Linked DNA regions of Yarrowia lipolytica. The protein of the gene in region 3 interacts with the protein of the main gene of each other region in a pairwise test. Links are inferred from orthologs where the notes say so. Each region holds a gene or a part of one and is shown on either strand. Other genes may lie near its edges.

Region 1 (5,092 bases), on a different chromosome or scaffold from region 3:
GGTGGGAGATAAGAATGCGGCGTGGGGCTTGAAGACAGAGGCAGACTTATGTAATCGGGGGATTGAGGAAATCGGTGCGTCGAGAGAACGGAGAACAATATTACTAAGATTTTTGGTGGTTTTTATTTGCAAATATGTGTTTATTTGTTTATTTATTTATTTGTTTATTTGTTTATTTATTTGTTTATTTTTTGTTTATTTGTTTATTTTTTTTTTATTATTCTCTCTTTAAAAATATAATATTATTACTTTAATATTTAGCTAGTCCAAACTGTATCTGCTCGTATAATTGACTCAGAAACGCAGTTGAAACGGAGTGGATAAGACGTGTCCGGACTAGTCTGAGTATTACAGGAATTAATGGTGCTGACTAAAGATGACTACTGCATATTGTGGTGGATCTGAAAATGGAAATGTTTGTGAATATCTCAAGGGGGAGTGCTTTTTTAAACCAAACAAGAGTTGTCCCATTGTGTTCAGGAAGAAGCAGAATGACTAAGCAAAATAAGCACTATTCTGATTAAGCAGAGAATGCATGGAGCGCTCTTTTCACCATTATGACTCTCATCTGTCTTTTTAATGGCCATGAGTGATATTGCAGTACTTGTACTTGTAACCATATCGGAGACATGATACCTGGCCATTAAAAGTACGGCTCGGACTTTTCATTAAACATCGTTACGCTATATAGTTACAGTACAGGTGAGTACAGGTTAGTCGAACTGTGTTAGTAAAGAGAGAAGGGAAGGTCATTGTGAGGTCATTGAGCATAGCGGAATGTGAAGATGTGGTAAGCAGTTCTGAACAGTCCTGCTCCTCAGACACTCAGATCATACATCTCCAACCACATTGCTGAAACTCAAACTGTCAGACTACCATCAACGAGTAACTCGAAAATGATAGTCCCACTGTCAGAGTTCTCACAATGATCAAATATCACTCGTGTTTTGAACTCTTGATCATTCGTTGCGCTCATGATCTGGTCATTTACAAGTAGCTCGCTACGCTCACTAGTTGATCTGTACTCACCGCAACCAAATAACTCTCTGCGATAAATCGCGCTCTGGCATTGAGCACCAGCTTCATCTCACTGATCTCCTTGTCGACCACCTCCATAAACTCAATGATAAAGTCCACCAGCTTGTGCTTGAGCATGGTCTCGGTGTGGAAGTTTGTGATGAGGAACGAAATGCTGTATCCAGGCACGGGTTTTCGTCGCAGAATGTAGAAAGACTCGGCTCGGCCGGTCAGGAACCGCGTGAACTGGTGCACGAGAATCCGTTCAATCTCGTCCGCCTGCTTGATTCGAATCGACACTCGCACCGAGTTGATGGATGGCTCGATCAGCACCATTTCGTTTTCGTTTCGCGCAATGGTCATAGGGTTGAGCAGCGCCTCAGCTGACTTGCCGGACTCCACCTCGGGCACATTGTGTCGCTCTGCCACCTGCGAGCCAAAGTCTTCCAGACAGAGGGCTGCTGTGAGAGAGGTACGTACGGCAAGAAGGTAGGGTCGGAGGGATTGGGACTGGGTTAGCGCATGTCACAATAGATGCGTAGAGCGATTCAAAAAAAAAGTCGCTGAGTGAGGTGACCTGTTTCAAGGTGTCTTCAACGGAGTTTAGATGCGAACTATGACACTCGATGTAGGATCCCAACAATCATGTTACACCGGGAGAGGCGGAGAGCCGGGAGAGCTGCAAGGTGATGACTAGGTCCACCACAGGGGCCAACTTGGCAGATGAACACATCGACAGACACCGGCGCTGACGAGTTCAGAGATGTCGACGGTAGAAGTCAACAGGGTAGAACTCAACAGTGGCAGTCATAGTCTTTTAGGGTCACCGGACGTCATTAAGGGTGACTGGAGGAGTCATCGGAGTAGTCATCGGAGGAGTCATAGGAGGTATTGAAACAGTCACCACTGGGTCATTGAAGGAGTCATCATCTCTGACGACTCAGAGCCAGCCAACTATGAGCAAGTGACAGTAGAGCGATCAGAACGACGCTAGCGGACACACCTGAGTATCGCGCGCACTGGTAGAGTGCAGATCGGTGCAAGTGGTCGGTGGGGAAAGTGAGGGAGGGGGAGGAGGTGACCGTCAACGGCATAGTCAGGGTATCATCAGGAAGCGCTCTGTGTCGTAATTGCCGTAGCTGTCGTTGTCGTTGTCGTTGTCGCAATGGCGGTCGCAGTGTCATATCTCAAGACAGACACTCTAAGCACAGAAGCACCGTAGAGTCACTCGAAGTAGCCAGAACTCGTCATAGTCAACTGGAGCCCGCAAAAGGACATGTTGCTGGTATATGTAGTGAAAGACATGTTCAACGTAGTGGCCACTTGAACTCCACTGTCGACAGAACTAGACAATCATCAGAATGAACCAACAGCGATGACTGAACCACCACATCCCATCCGGCTCATTAACTATAGTCGACTCATTGACCCACTGAATTATGGCGCACAACACACTCAATCTCACCAACAAGATGGATCAAAACAACTCATCTGGAGCCATCAGTCAATCGGAACTCGCCACGTCATCAGAGACCCAACAGACACAGATCCGCTCGCCACAAAATGACATAAATGCGCTCATCAAAAACCCCCGTAGCTCGGCAAAGGACATAGAACCCATGAGCCTCTGGTCCCTCCTCAAATCCCCCGGCTCCATCCCCTCAAATCCCCCGGCTCCATACCCTAAACAATCAATGACCCTAACACTCATTTTGTCGTATTTTGCGCATCGAAAATCGCCCTTTTCGCCCCCTTTCGCTATACTCACCATCTCGGTCGGGTCGGTTGCGCTATTAGTCGTGCGTATGTAGAGGTACCGTATGCATCTCCAGAGTATTATTAGGTGGTGATTGGGAACCCTAACCCTGGATTTTGGGGTGGCATTTTCGAGGAATATTTGGGAGCGGAGTCGGTGTGAGTAAGGAATATTACAGGAAATAAATCCGTTTTAAAAATTCAATTAGATAAAAAAAGGAGTATATTGAGGTATATCTTGATGGATATTTGAGATATATTGAAATGGAGAGAATTAATGGATTCCCCCCTTCATGGGCTTTCATACCAAGATGATGACACATTTGTTTTTTTTTGTCAATTTTTTTGAGGTCTTAATACCATCTATCGTCTCACAGTTTTGTTTTTTTGAAAAAAAAATATCTATATATATTTATAAATAGCATTTTTAATCTATATATTTTTAGTTTTCAATGGAATAATTTAGTTGGGGATTTAATCCGTAATTTTTTTATTTTTTTTAATTTAGTTGACTTAGATGGGTAAACAGAGAACCTTCCAGATGCTGGAGTTTTGGTTGAGAACATTGGTAGAGTGACTACTTATGTTATCACGTGACATATTTTGATTATTTTCTCTTTTCTTTATATAAACGAATTTTGATTTTAATTCAATTATTTTTCAATTTCCTTTTAATTTAATTTTAATTCAATTTTAATTCAACCAAACAATTTTTTATCCATTTTTCAATTCTTCTTCTTCATTCCTCCAACTACTTACAATTTTCTTTATCATTTTCCATTTATCAACTAATTGGTTTTCTCATTAAAGTTCAACTCTATCTACTCACCCTCCTAATATCCAACATCACCCAGCTCCATCACCACAAAATGACCTGGCAAGAACACAAGGCGGAGGACGGACGAACGTACTACTTCGACCCGGAAACGCAAAACTCGACGTGGGACAAGCCCGAGGAGCTCTTCACGGAGCGCGAAATCGCCCTCAAACGCACAAACTGGAAGGAATACACCGCCGAGGGAGGCCGCAAATACTGGTTCAACACCGAGTCCAAGGAAAGTGTGTGGGTGTTTCCCGCAGATGCCGAAGCGATTCTTCAGGGAGAAGCGGCGGCCGATGAGTCGATTCCCAAAGAACCCCGAGAGGTGCGAGAACAGCGTGGTCGAGAAAAACGAGAGGAACATTTACCGTCTCTGAGCTCGATTGCGCCGGATAATGTGCAGCAGCAGTTCAAGGGAGGCAGTTCCGAGGAGATTGAGGCGTCTTACAAACAGCTGATGGCCGACAAGGAGGTCGACAGTAGCTGGACGGTTCAGAAGCTGATGAAAGAGTGTCTTGAAGACCCCCGATACTGGGCTGTGCGAGACGCTCTGAGACGGCGGGAACTGTTTGAGGAGTTTCTGACCGAGATTGAGCAGAAGGAGGTCCAGGAGACGTTGGATAAACGCCTGGAGTACCAGCAGAGAGTCTATGATTTGTTTGAACAGTCCAACAAGATTGGGCCGTATTCTCGCTGGATCAGCGTGGAAGAAGAGTTCCGCGACGACCCACTGTTCCACACAGGTCACGTGGACGACCGTAAACTGGCGCTCGCAAAATATGTCCGTTTTTTGAACGAACAGGAGCAGAAAAAAACCGCCGAGATCAAGGCCGCCGGAAAACAATTTCTCAAGTCCGTGCTGCAAATCGACATTGTCAAATCTACCTGGAACGATACCCTGAGAGATATCAAGTCGAGATCGGCGGAACTTGCTGCCGAGAGGCCGGAAATGCGACTGCTCAACAAGATGGACTTGCTGGACGTCTATTCAAAGACAATCGAAGAGAAGGAAGCCGAGTTGGTGGAACAGATTGAACAGAAATCCGCCGTCGCTGCCAGACAGGCCAGAATAGCCCGCCAACAGTTTGTCAAACTGCTCTCCGAACAGGTCGACAAGGGCCATATCGTCTACACCACCAAATGGAAGGAGCTGGTGGACTACATCAAGGACGATGTGCGATTCCAGAACCTGTGTGGAATCAGACACTCATCCACACCGCTGGACCTCTTCTGGGACGTGATTGAGGTCGAAAACAGACGGGTCCGAAACCTGAGGACCATCGCCCAGGGATATCTGACAAGCGAGGGCAAAAATATCGACAGCCTGACCCTCGACGAATTTGGCCACCTGATCGCAGCGTGCTCGGACTACACCACCAATCTCGAACATCCTCGGTACACCCAGCAGGTCTACAATGCTCTCAAGGACTCGGATTTCGAAATCGACCGGTTTGCTTCAGATCGAAAGCTGCGACGACTTCAGGACGACTTCCGGTACGC
Region 2 (3,391 bases), on a different chromosome or scaffold from region 3:
GCCTCTCAATGCCATGGCGGGTCCTCCTTCGGGTGCTCCCGGCGCGCCCGGCGCTCCCGGCACTCCCGGAGCTCCTCCAGGCATGTATCCTCCACGACAGCAGTCACCCCCAGGACCTTATCCACCTTATTGGCAGTAGAGAGGGGAGAGGAGGACACGAAGGACGGAAGGATAGCATGGATAAAGCGTGTTTATTTATATGTATTATATGAAGATTTAATTGAGTTGAGTGTAGGCGCTTGACAATGACTACTTGCAATTAGCACGGGTGCCTATGGCAACATCCCTACTGTATGTTGTAGTCTATCGCCACTTGTCATATTCAAAGTGTGAGAAAGATAAAACAAATAGACTGTATAGACTGGATCAATACAAGTACAAGCACACAGTACGAGTACGTAAAAGTACGAAAAAGTACGAGTACAATGTACATACTGATACACAGTGACAATACATTATTATACATACATACAGTTCATCCATACGACCAGCTCCTACAAAGTTACCTTATCATATCATTCATTAGTTACATTGTGTATCCAGGGCTTTAGTTTGTGCTCTGATGCACCTCTTCCTTCAGCTGTTTGGTGGAGATTCATCACCGGAGTTGCTTGTGTTTGTTCACCGCTCATACATTACCCGGCTGTGCCTAGTAATTCATTCGCTTACAAACTCTTGTTCATAAAATGCCTTCTGGTGAAAGCCAACCAGTACTTGTTGGGCTTGGAAGGGTCGTCCTTGTAGATCTTCTCAATCAGACGCTTTGCCAGCTCCTGTCTGAATTGCATCAGGTAGCCTCGCAGCAGTTCGACCTCATTTCGGTCTCGGGGAGGGGCGTAGAGAGAGTTCAGTGGGAAGCCGGCGTCTCCGGGAATGGAAAAGTGTTCCACAGCAGCAGTGTTCAGCAACTTGTTGGCCTCGTTGGCAGAAGTGGTAGGCTTGAGCTTTCCCAGACACTCGGACACAAAGAGAATGCCGTAAATGAGAGCCCGGTCGGCAGGGCCCTTGATCTCAAAGTTCTTAAAGAATGAGTTTGCTCGGAACAGATCCAGCACCTCGTCGATGATGTCGTAGTCGGCGTTGCTGGGGTAACTGGGGCCTCGGAATGACGTTTTGATGGGGAGGATAGCGAAATTGCCCACTACCCGGGTGTCCTGGTCCTCGCCGAGAAATGTACTGTTCAGAGCTGGCATTTTTGTGTCTGGTTGGATGTGTTAACGTTGGTGATGCGTTGGTAATGACAGGTTTGGGTGTGATGAGGTGGAGATAGCTGGTGAACTCTAATAATGGCGCAGTTAGAGGTGAAATTGCAAGGAATGGTGGGAGGTGAGATTTTGGTGACCGGAGGTAGGTGGATTGATGGAATGTCATAAGCCGATTCAATTGAGTGAATTGGAAATGTTTCGACCATGAATTCCGCTGATTACGAAGCGAACATTCGGAGGAAGGGGGTGCGGGTTGCTTCAGTAACATACTTGGATTTTACTTGGATGGCACTTGAGTTTGTTTTCTCAAATCACTCCCTCAGTTGATTGAACTTCAGATTTACTGTACCGTAGCTACTGTGTCAGATAAAGGTGTGACCGACTGTAGTGCCAGCCGGGTTGACTTGCGGGGAACCGGAGTTAAGAGAGTTCATTATCACACCCTGGTACAAGTACAAGTAGCCGATGTTCGTATTACAGTAGTAAGTGTCTCAATGTCAATACCGTAATGGCTATAATCGGGGAGGGGACGAGGATCATTCTGTAGGACACATGCCTACAATACAGTTGCACCTATCGTAGGTACAAGCAAGCTGTGTGGCAAGTGCGAGCGAACAGTTATTGAGTTAACAATTGAGTGGTTATCGTGCTTGAAGTTGAAAGGAATTGTTATCTACTTGTGGCTACACAAGGCACTATTTTCGGCTTCCAGCCACTCCCTTGCTCAACTGCTACAGGACCATCGGCTGACGGTCTTGAGTCTTCCGTGTTTATTGCTTTTTGGACTACTGTACCCCTGTGCTTATTAAGGACAAATGAGGTTAAGTGATGGACTGCATACGACGGACATAGTGAATATGACCGACAATGGTGGGTCAGAGAGGGGTACTTTTGGGTAGAAAGGTGACAGTAAAAGCCAGCAAATAGTTCATCACAGGCTATTATGACACACTGGAGGTGTTTGGACTTCTTCATCATCTCTCCAAAAAAGTATCTCGAGTACTCATACAAAGGTCTGCTCTTGTACAGTCTTCCCCAACCCTATTTTCTGACGTTTTCGGCAGTCCTATAAATGCCGAAAAAAAAGACAGATTTTCACGAGAAAAAAGACCACCGGTTCACCACATTGTAGCAAGTAATATAGACCGTACCGACCGGGTCAAGTTGCATGCGTCTCCCTCATAGCGCTCCATTTATTCCCCCCACACTAATACCGCAGGTGACTAAGCAACCTAAAGTTGGCACCACACAAACACAGCCTCGTGCGTCTTAGGGTACAGTACTACACTTTTTCAGAGCCCGCCAATCTCTACACCAGTTGTTGTTTGCACGACACAACGCCCCAAGAGACACACAACTAGTCACACTCGACCCAGGGCAGCTCAAATGGCGCAGGACGTGTTGGATATTCCTTTTACCGATATTCCGTCGATGCAGGTGAGTAGATGAGACATGAGGAGAAACCCTGATAGACACAGGCAATGGGTGATATGGACAGAAAGGAGACTGATGTGAACACAGAACCAGTGGCAAGCGAGACACAGACAGGCAGAAGAAGAGACCTAGAATTAGAAGCATCGACATGGCTCATATCCCAACAGTACAAGCGGTGTTCCTATCGTACCGCGCAGTTACACAGATGAGCGGATGGTTTAAGGGTGACGTGAAGGATATATTCAGATGAGATTGCTGTGGAATGTGCAGTAATTTCATTTGGTGAATGTTCACGACTGTACTGTTCCTATGGCGACATTTTAGCGACACTGTTTGACGTGGTTTGAGGGGAACCAAGGCGTACCAACGCATCGCACGACACATCACGACGTGGTGTAGAGCATACATGACGACACACTTAGGGCAAATCAAACCTACATCGACTCTAAGAATCGCCATATACAAATTATCACAGCCCATTCTTCTGCTCCACTAGCTACATCTCGTTGTCCGCCCTCGACTTTCGGACCCTCACACCTGTTGCTCCCGTATACTAACCAAGCGCATCCCCGCCTCGCGGTCCATGCAAAACCTCAACGAGCGGTATGAACAAGGCCAAGCCCCTCCCCAGGGCCAGACCAAACAGCCCCCCATGCAGCCCTCGCATCATGCCAATCCCCCACCCCAGCATCACCAGCAGCCACAGCAACACATGCCACCGCGACATTACCCGACCAACCGGCCACAGCCCG
Region 3 (3,735 bases):
ACGTCGTGAGCTGTGTATGTGATGGTTTTCGGGATGCGGTGATTCTGTAAATAATGGGATGTAGAGGAGGTTCCAGTGAGGGACTTACTGGAAGCAGAGTCGTAAAAAGGTGCTATTATTGAGTAGTTGCACAGTTGAAGTCGCTTATCCTGTGACAATGTCATGTTCCGGATTATTCTCCCGAACACTTGCTATCTGGGATCATGAACGTGGTTATCCTGGTCAGGACGGGAAAATGGCCTGCTCATCTACAAAGTCATCGAGCCTGGTCATATTGATTTAAAATACACGTAACAATCAAACTCTTCAGAGTGGTTACCGTACCAGTACCCACGCCAATCTATCTCGATAATGCCTTCCATACACCTTCACTACAGTCAGTTGTTATTCATATCATATTCATTACAATGGTACATGGAGACATACCGATGCATAGCTAGTTCCGACCGTTAGATGAAGAGAAGTCAATCAGCAGCACGCTACGTCAAGTTACTGGCCACCTAGTTGGGATGCTTGAAGGTTCTTCCACTGGCGGTCTTCTTCTCCTTGACCACATTCTCCTGCTTTGCTCGGTTCAGCACCTTGAGGAACTCGCTCACTCGGAATCGCATTCGCGAGTGCATATAGGCCTTGGAACACTTGATATGGTAGTGGAAGTAGTCTCGGAAGATTTGGATGTGCGAGATACAGTTCTCTCGTCGAGAGGCCACAAGATGTCGGGGGAAAAGCACAAAGGTGACGTATCCCATGTTGTCGGCGTTAGAAGAGGGCTTGACAACGTCTCTGATCTCCAGCGGCGGCTCCTTTTGCGTGTACAGCACCTGGGGGGCGTTTTGGATGGCTCTTCGTCGAGCGTCAACGAATTCCTGCAGGAACACCTTTCCAAAGATTCGGTCAGTCTCGTCCTTGAAGATGGTGGAGAAGATGACGGTGACTCGGTCGTAGCTCGGTCGCACGTAGATGGACTCCTCGTCTCGGTAGTGGATCGCCATGACCTCGTTATCGGACTTTTGGGGGGCGTACAGGTCCTTGCCCTCGGCAGCAGCCTCCTCGGCCAGCTGGTCGAACTTGTCAAAGGCCTTTTCGAATGGAGCAGCAAACGTGTTTCTCTTGAGCAGTGCAATCTTGTTGACAAGCTCGTCTCGCTGCTCGGGGTCCGAGGGGATGGAGCCGTCTGTGAGGTTGAGCAGCAGCGAAACGTCGTATCCAGGCTCGGGCTCGGTCAGGTAGGGGCCATACTCCCGCTCCAGAATCTTCTTGGCGCCGCACTTGACCAGATCCTGGAAACACTTGATGTACATGGACACCATGATGACCGTCTTGTCCTTGGGGTCCGGGTTGGAGATGTGGAAGGTGACATTGTCGAAGTCCGACACCACCTGATCGATGCCCAATGGCGGGGTTTCGGGGTCCAGACGCTCGCTGAGCACCGATTGCAGCAGCAGGTTTTGGTACTGGAGCATAAGCATGTTGGCGGGTCTTGTGGAGTGCTGTGTGGGAGTGCTGGGTCTCGCAGTGGGTGTATAGTCAACGTGGAGATGTGTGCTGTACCACTGCGTTAATATCGTTGGTTAGTCAGAACTCTAATGGGAAGCTGGGGACGAACCGCGCGAAAACTGGTGGCACCAAGAGCAGATTATATACGGAGAAAATGACAATTATATTCCTCGAGCTTGTGATTGATCACGTGTCACCCAAAATCTTCCCCCAGTGTTATTATTTGCCGCAGTTGCAGACTCGCTAGATGACCTTCACACCACTGTTTATGCACTCACTCGGAGATAAGCCCTCTGGGTTGCGGATGTAGGAGTTGATACTTGTGCGAGTACTGTGCAAGTACGAGTAATTGTAGCCGGAGTAGTCAATTACAGCGGTGAAGGTAATTGGTGACATATGCTGGAGACGCCGATGGATAGATGGGGTCCCAATTGGACACGGAGGTGAAACCCCGACCTTGATAATCCATTGTTAGGAACAGTTTACTTGGGAGTATGCTTGACATTTTACTTGAACTCTATCACGAGTGACACGGGAACATGTATAATGGGATGTCTCACATCACTGATATTCCCCCTATATTGAAGTATTCCACTCTGTCAAAGTATTCCACCCTATATCGAAGTCTTTCACGGCTGGAGCACCTTTACGATGCTTCACTACAGTATGACCCGTGCTGTTCTTCACAGTCTCTAGCCAGACCTTCGTACACTGTACTCGCACTGAACGCGAACAAGTCTCTATCCATTCAGTACAGTACCTCCCAGTTCATCTGTCTCAGAGACTAACCATCTAAAGTGTTACGTTCCTCTTAGCTCTGATTCTAATCAGATCATGGTTCTGAGCTTGGACTCGGAGGACTACGAACATGATCCCAGACGTTTTAACCTGAAAACACGGACATAGAATGCCCAATTGGGGGACCAGATTCAATTGTTTCACTCCGTCATTGCTCTGGTTTCACAATATCACTCCGGTTTGCAGTACATACTAGTGCAGTATGTAGCAAGTACAGTTCACAGTTCGTACAAGACCACTTACAGACACCTCCAATTGCACCATGGATCCGATTTAAATGTAGTTTTTTTGCCACTGGCTCTGCAAGTTCATTCAATAGAACAATTTTTATTCATTTGACTCAATATCATGACAATAACCACTTTTTTTATTATTCTAATGATGCATTACAGCATGTTATTACCATACCAAAATTCAACGTAAAGATGCAACTTCGACACCAAAATTATTAACTTAATATCGGTTCTACTCGAGTAAAAAGCTACTAGGGGATACTTTTGGTCTTTGAGAATAAATATCCGATGTTATTTACTTTGTACAATGTCGATAAGGGCGTCAAAATCAAAGAAAAATTCAAAATCACTTTTTTAGTCTCTTGACCGTATTTTTTCACGTGATTTTAAGATTTTCGGCCGTGTGGTCTAGTAGCTATGATTCTCGCTTTGGGTGTGAGAGGTCCAGGGTTCAAATCCCTGCTCGGCCCCTTTTTTAGATGCCCTCGAAAATCAGTCCTAATTGTTTTTTTTTTTTTATTTTTTTATCTGTCATCCCCTCCACCTTGCTTTTACGCCTTGCAACAATTTATCCAGTCCCTTAAATCACGTGTACATACTGTACTTGTCTGTTTCAACACCCTGTCTGGCAGGACATGAGATGTTGGACGGACTCTCCTGTGGGGCTCTACTTGTAGGTTTAGCAGTCAGTTATAGTCGATCTAAGGGCAGATTCTGGGAGCAATACGGGGCAGTGGAACCTATTTAGTCGACCGGATGGTGGGATTCGAAAGCTTTTATCGAGCTTTGAACGGGCAGTAGAATGGCATCTGTTGCACTAATGGCGAACGGCGCAACGCTCGGAAGGTCAAGAACTTGTAGTTTCCAAGTACGAATACCATAAGCAACCGACCATGCACCTCACCGTCCCCTCTTCATTCAACAACAGATGGCCAGTTCAAAGTCGATTAATGTTCAAAACCCCCATCTGTATGTTCCATCTGTTGCAGATGTGTGGGGTAGGATTGAAGTTAGTCGCCGACAGGGTTCTCGTTAAGGCGAGGGGAATAGTCGATAAAAGAGGTATTGAGAGCAAAAGAGGAAGAAAAACTAGACAAGTGATCATACAGATCCCTTATCAAAGCCGATCTGAACGGGTTTCCCCCTTCCTTTCTCCTACTGTAACGCTTCTTGGGTGGTACAGGAGAACCTCTCGTGAGACAAAGAA
Region 4 (3,972 bases), on a different chromosome or scaffold from region 3:
TTCATCGCCATTCTGTTCCACCAGGCGTTCGAAGGTATCGGCCTTGGGTCTCGAATCGCCGGACTTCGTGACTCGTCTCTGTTCTTCAAAATGAGCATGTGCACCTATTTCACCATCATCACTCCCATCGGCATGGCTATTGGTCTCGGTGTCATGGACTCCATGAACTCCAACGACCCTGCCACCATTTGGGCCATTGGAACCATCTCGGCTCTGTCTGCTGGCGTGCTCATTTGGGCTGGAGTTGTGGAGATGTTGGCGTTCGACTGGCTGTTTGGAGATCTTTCTTTTGCACCCAAAAAGCGAGTCTTTTTCGCAATGTCGGGTCTGGTTGGAGGCATGATTTGTATGTCCCTCATCGGAAAGTGGGCCTAGTCCTTGCCAAAGGCGATATAATGATTAATGAATAGATAATACGATTTTATGAGTTGAGTAGAGAAGGATGGACAAGTGCGGAACTGAGAAATAGCTACGAGTGGTGGAGTATTGCGGTCCACTGAATAGTTGGAAGCAGCGTCATAACTCTGCATCCCATTTGGAATGAAGACGAGAGAAGTGACGATGTGATCTGTGAAGGTGAAGGGTCAGTTGATCACGCACAAATGATTAATTAGCAATTTGACATGGCATACAGTGCACTGACAATCAACAATATATCCACAGATAACAGTTAATACTTGCAAATGCCCATCTGACAGCCTACACTAATCGTACAATAAGACTCGCGGCAAGTTGGGCGCTCTGTAGCTCTGCTGCTACATCCACTGCACTCGCTGCTACACAGCTAGTACAGTTCGTCAATCGTTTCATCATATAACATACATAGTTCCTTCATCGACAGTGTTAGGTTGATACTGTCAATGCAGGGTTGTAGCTGGAGTTGCCGCTTATCTGGGACCAAGCTTGGCCAGGCATGCGGGGCCCTGCTCCTCCCACTCTTGTTTGGAGATCCACATGTGCTCCTTGTCATGCATAATGTTAGCAAGCACGGCACCTCCCAGGAAGACCATATGTCGTCGTCGAGGGGGGTCCTCAATTTTGACCTTGAAGTTGTTGAGTCGGGTGGGGTCGCCGTTAAGCACCCGGGTGAGCCACAGCTGCTTGAGCTCCTTCTCCATTCGGGATGGCAGACCGGGATACATGGACGAACCTCCAGACAACACAATGGCTTTGTACAGCGACGATCGCACATCAATGTCGGCGGCCTGGATAGTGTTGAACAGCGTCTCGGCGATTCCAGGCTGTTCCGAGTCGACCAGATGGGGCTGGAACAGACACTCGGGGGCCTCGAATCGCTCTGATCCCAGCTTGATGGTTCGGCCGTCAGGAAGTTCGTAGGTGTCGACCAGAGCAGTGGTTTCGTTGGCGAGCTTTGTGTCGAGGTCCAGGTCGTAGGAGACGTAGCAGAACTTCTCCTTGATCTGTCGCACGGTCTCGAAGTCGGCAGTTCGGTTGAAGGCGTATCCTCGTCGCAGTAGCAGAGCAATCAGCTGTCGGGTGACATCTCGACCAGCGACGTCCAGACGACGGGTCAGGTGGTTGAGCACCACAGACTCGTAGACAGGCACCACGTGGGTAACACCGTCTCCAGAGTCCACCACCACTCCTGACGACAGGCCCTGTGCGTACAGAGCCAGGACGGCCTGGATGGCTACATAAACGCCATTGAAGCCGTAGTGCTCAAACATGATCTCGCACATCTTTTCCCGGTTCTTGAGGGGGTTCATGGGAGGCTCTGTGAGCAGCACCTTTCGACCCCGGGTGTCAATCTTCATCTTGTCGTAAAACGAGTGGTTCCACAGGTGACCCATGTCTTCCCAGTTTCGAATCACTCCGTTCTCCATCGGGTACGAGATCTGCAGCATGTTTCGTGCCGCGGCAGCCTCGTCTCCACACATAATGTCCTTGATGGCCACGTCGCCGTATGTGTCTGTGGCCCGCTCTTCAGCCCGCAGAATGGGCCGACCCACCATCGACGGGAAGGTGTGTTCGGGGAAGTTGGTGCCTCCGTAGCCGATTTTCACAAAGCCGGTTCCTTGATCTAGCACAATTGGTTGTTCGCTCATATTCGCTCAGTGGTGTGGATGGAGGGTGGATGTCATGCACTGTCGAGAGCGCTGTATGCGGGAGTTTATTAGTCAGCCACCCTCGACGAGCCTGCAAAAAACCGTTGTTTTGTAGGCTGACATGGCCAGATGGATGTGACAATGCGACCAGTACACCCCAAATAGCTCAATTGGGTCTCTCTCTTACTAATTGCGTCTCAAACACGCCCTTCTATACACTTTCTTATCTCAACACCGAGCTCCAGCTCACCTCCCATCCCACCTCCGAATTGCTATCTCCATCTAGCCAGCCTGGACAACTTTATTTCCAGGCCGCGAAATGTCGGAGATGTTCAAATAGAGTAAAAAAGGGCAGAAAAACAGCTGAAAAAGGGTAAAAAAGAGCAGAAAAAGAAGCAGAAAAAGAGAAAAAAAAAAGAAGCATAAAAAATAATAAAAAATAATAAAAAAATAATAAAAAATAATAAAAAATAATAAAAAAAATAATAATAATAATAAAATAATAATAATAAATAATATAAATAATAATAAAAATAATAAAAATAAAAAAAAAAATAAAAAACAAAAAAAAAAAATAGTAATAGCTACGGCCCCCAGTCGGGGAACGCGGATACTGTACGCTTAAGGGTTGTGCTAATAAAACAATCTCCTCTTCACCCCACCATCCATATACAATGTACTCATACTAATACTCTTACATCCAGTACATACTGTTCACTCATGGTTGTAGCTTGTTGCAGTGCTACATCAACACTTATCTGAAACAAAACGACCAAAATACTTTGGTTGATCGCTTGATATTTATTATTACTAATGGAAAAATATTACTAATAGAAAAATGCCAAGAATTGCTCACGTTTTCTTTTAGTACCTGGCACGTAATAATCAATCAATAGTCAGACCTTGTTGAAAACATCACTTCCAAGACTCCGTATCTCCGAACTATAGAGGTGAGACAGTCATAGGCGTAATCAACCATCAAGTACATAACTAAACTTACAACAACCAGTGTGATGTACACACCTGCCCTCCACCAAAGCCATGTTATCATGCAATCATAATTCGTTATATAAATAGCTATATGCATATTTTTCAAGATGCTTTTCGTCCCCTCATTGTATATCGCCTACCGTGTCTCTGAGAAGTCTAAGGATTGTGCCGGCGCTGGTAGAACAACACATACGCATTCTTGTTAACAACGGCTCGCTCGTTCACGTTTCTGTTCACCACCGTATCGTCAAAGTAGCACCATCCGAGCTTGCCACGCTTGCAGAACGACGTGTAATGACCCCCGCGCAGCGTTCCGTAATGGTTGGCCACTCCAAACAGTGAGTACCGGAAAGGAGCCGTCTGGCCACGAGGAAGCAGCTTCTTCAAGAAGGGCTCGTCCTCCGATGTGGGCGGAGGCCAATACCGCGTGAGATCCATCTCCAGAGGGTACGTAACAAACGTGTTGAGCTTGTCTCCATAGCCCCGTGAGTGGTCGAACCGCTTGAGATGGATGATCAAAGTTTCTGGAAGCCGCGAGATCTTCATAGACTTGATAGTGGGCCGCGGCTTCTTGCACGTAGGGCACTGCCACATGTTTTCGCCCTCCAGCAACTCCGGCTGCGTAAACTGGTTGAAGCAGTCGTACAGCGTTGGGAGAGTGGCCCCAGCGTACTTGGGGATGGGCAGAGTTAGCGACGAGAATGCAGTGTATGTCGTCGACGTCATTTTGCACACAGTACACTGGAGCTTTGATTGGTACTGGCCCTGAAATTCGTCGACAATAAACGAAGACGCGGACTTGAGGTACCGCTCCCACTCCAGAGATGACACAATTCGAACACTCATCTCCTCTCGTCGCTTCTCCTCGCTCTCGGTCAGCTCACGGGGCTTGTATTGACCATCGCCCACAGAGTTG

The links.
Region 1: the proteins of YALI1_A03422g (region 3) and YALI1_D03575g interact in binary tests that used the Saccharomyces cerevisiae proteins (3 or more experiments, as listed by UniProt). The link is inferred for Yarrowia lipolytica from reciprocal best matches to the Saccharomyces cerevisiae genes ARC35 and ARC19.
Region 2: the proteins of YALI1_A03422g (region 3) and YALI1_B26451g interact in binary tests that used the Saccharomyces cerevisiae proteins (3 or more experiments, as listed by UniProt). The link is inferred for Yarrowia lipolytica from reciprocal best matches to the Saccharomyces cerevisiae genes ARC35 and ARC18.
Region 4: the proteins of YALI1_A03422g (region 3) and YALI1_F20712g interact in binary tests that used the Saccharomyces cerevisiae proteins (3 or more experiments, as listed by UniProt). The link is inferred for Yarrowia lipolytica from reciprocal best matches to the Saccharomyces cerevisiae genes ARC35 and ARP2.

Annotation. Positions count from the first base shown.
Region 1 is NC_090773.1:356,845-361,936, forward strand, and holds YALI1_D03575g (uncharacterized protein), read right to left. Parts: upstream 2,789-5,092; coding exon 2,787-2,788; intron 1,529-2,786; coding exon 1,031-1,528; intron 724-1,030; coding exon 714-723; downstream 1-713. Other genes in the region: YALI1_D03604g (uncharacterized protein), read left to right, coding at 3,642-5,092. UniProt on the Saccharomyces cerevisiae protein: Functions as actin-binding component of the Arp2/3 complex which is involved in regulation of actin polymerization and together with an activating nucleation-promoting factor (NPF) mediates the formation of branched actin networks.
Region 2 is NC_090771.1:2,642,879-2,646,269, reverse strand, and holds YALI1_B26451g (uncharacterized protein), read right to left. Parts: upstream 1,194-3,391; coding exon 666-1,193; downstream 1-665. Other genes in the region: YALI1_B26517g (uncharacterized protein), read left to right, coding at 1-139; YALI1_B26430g (uncharacterized protein), read left to right, coding at 2,592-2,642, 3,202-3,391. UniProt on the Saccharomyces cerevisiae protein: Functions as a component of the Arp2/3 complex which is involved in regulation of actin polymerization and together with an activating nucleation-promoting factor (NPF) mediates the formation of branched actin networks.
Region 3 is NC_090770.1:340,791-344,525, forward strand, and holds YALI1_A03422g (uncharacterized protein), read right to left. Parts: upstream 1,470-3,735; coding exon 501-1,469; downstream 1-500. Other genes in the region: YALI1_A03442g (uncharacterized protein), read left to right, coding at 3,422-3,735.
Region 4 is NC_090775.1:2,069,335-2,073,306, reverse strand, and holds YALI1_F20712g (uncharacterized protein), read right to left. Parts: upstream 2,067-3,972; coding exon 888-2,066; downstream 1-887. Other genes in the region: YALI1_F20742g (uncharacterized protein), read left to right, coding at 1-375; YALI1_F20669g (uncharacterized protein), read right to left, coding at 3,213-3,972. UniProt on the Saccharomyces cerevisiae protein: Functions as ATP-binding component of the Arp2/3 complex which is involved in regulation of actin polymerization and together with an activating nucleation-promoting factor (NPF) mediates the formation of branched actin networks.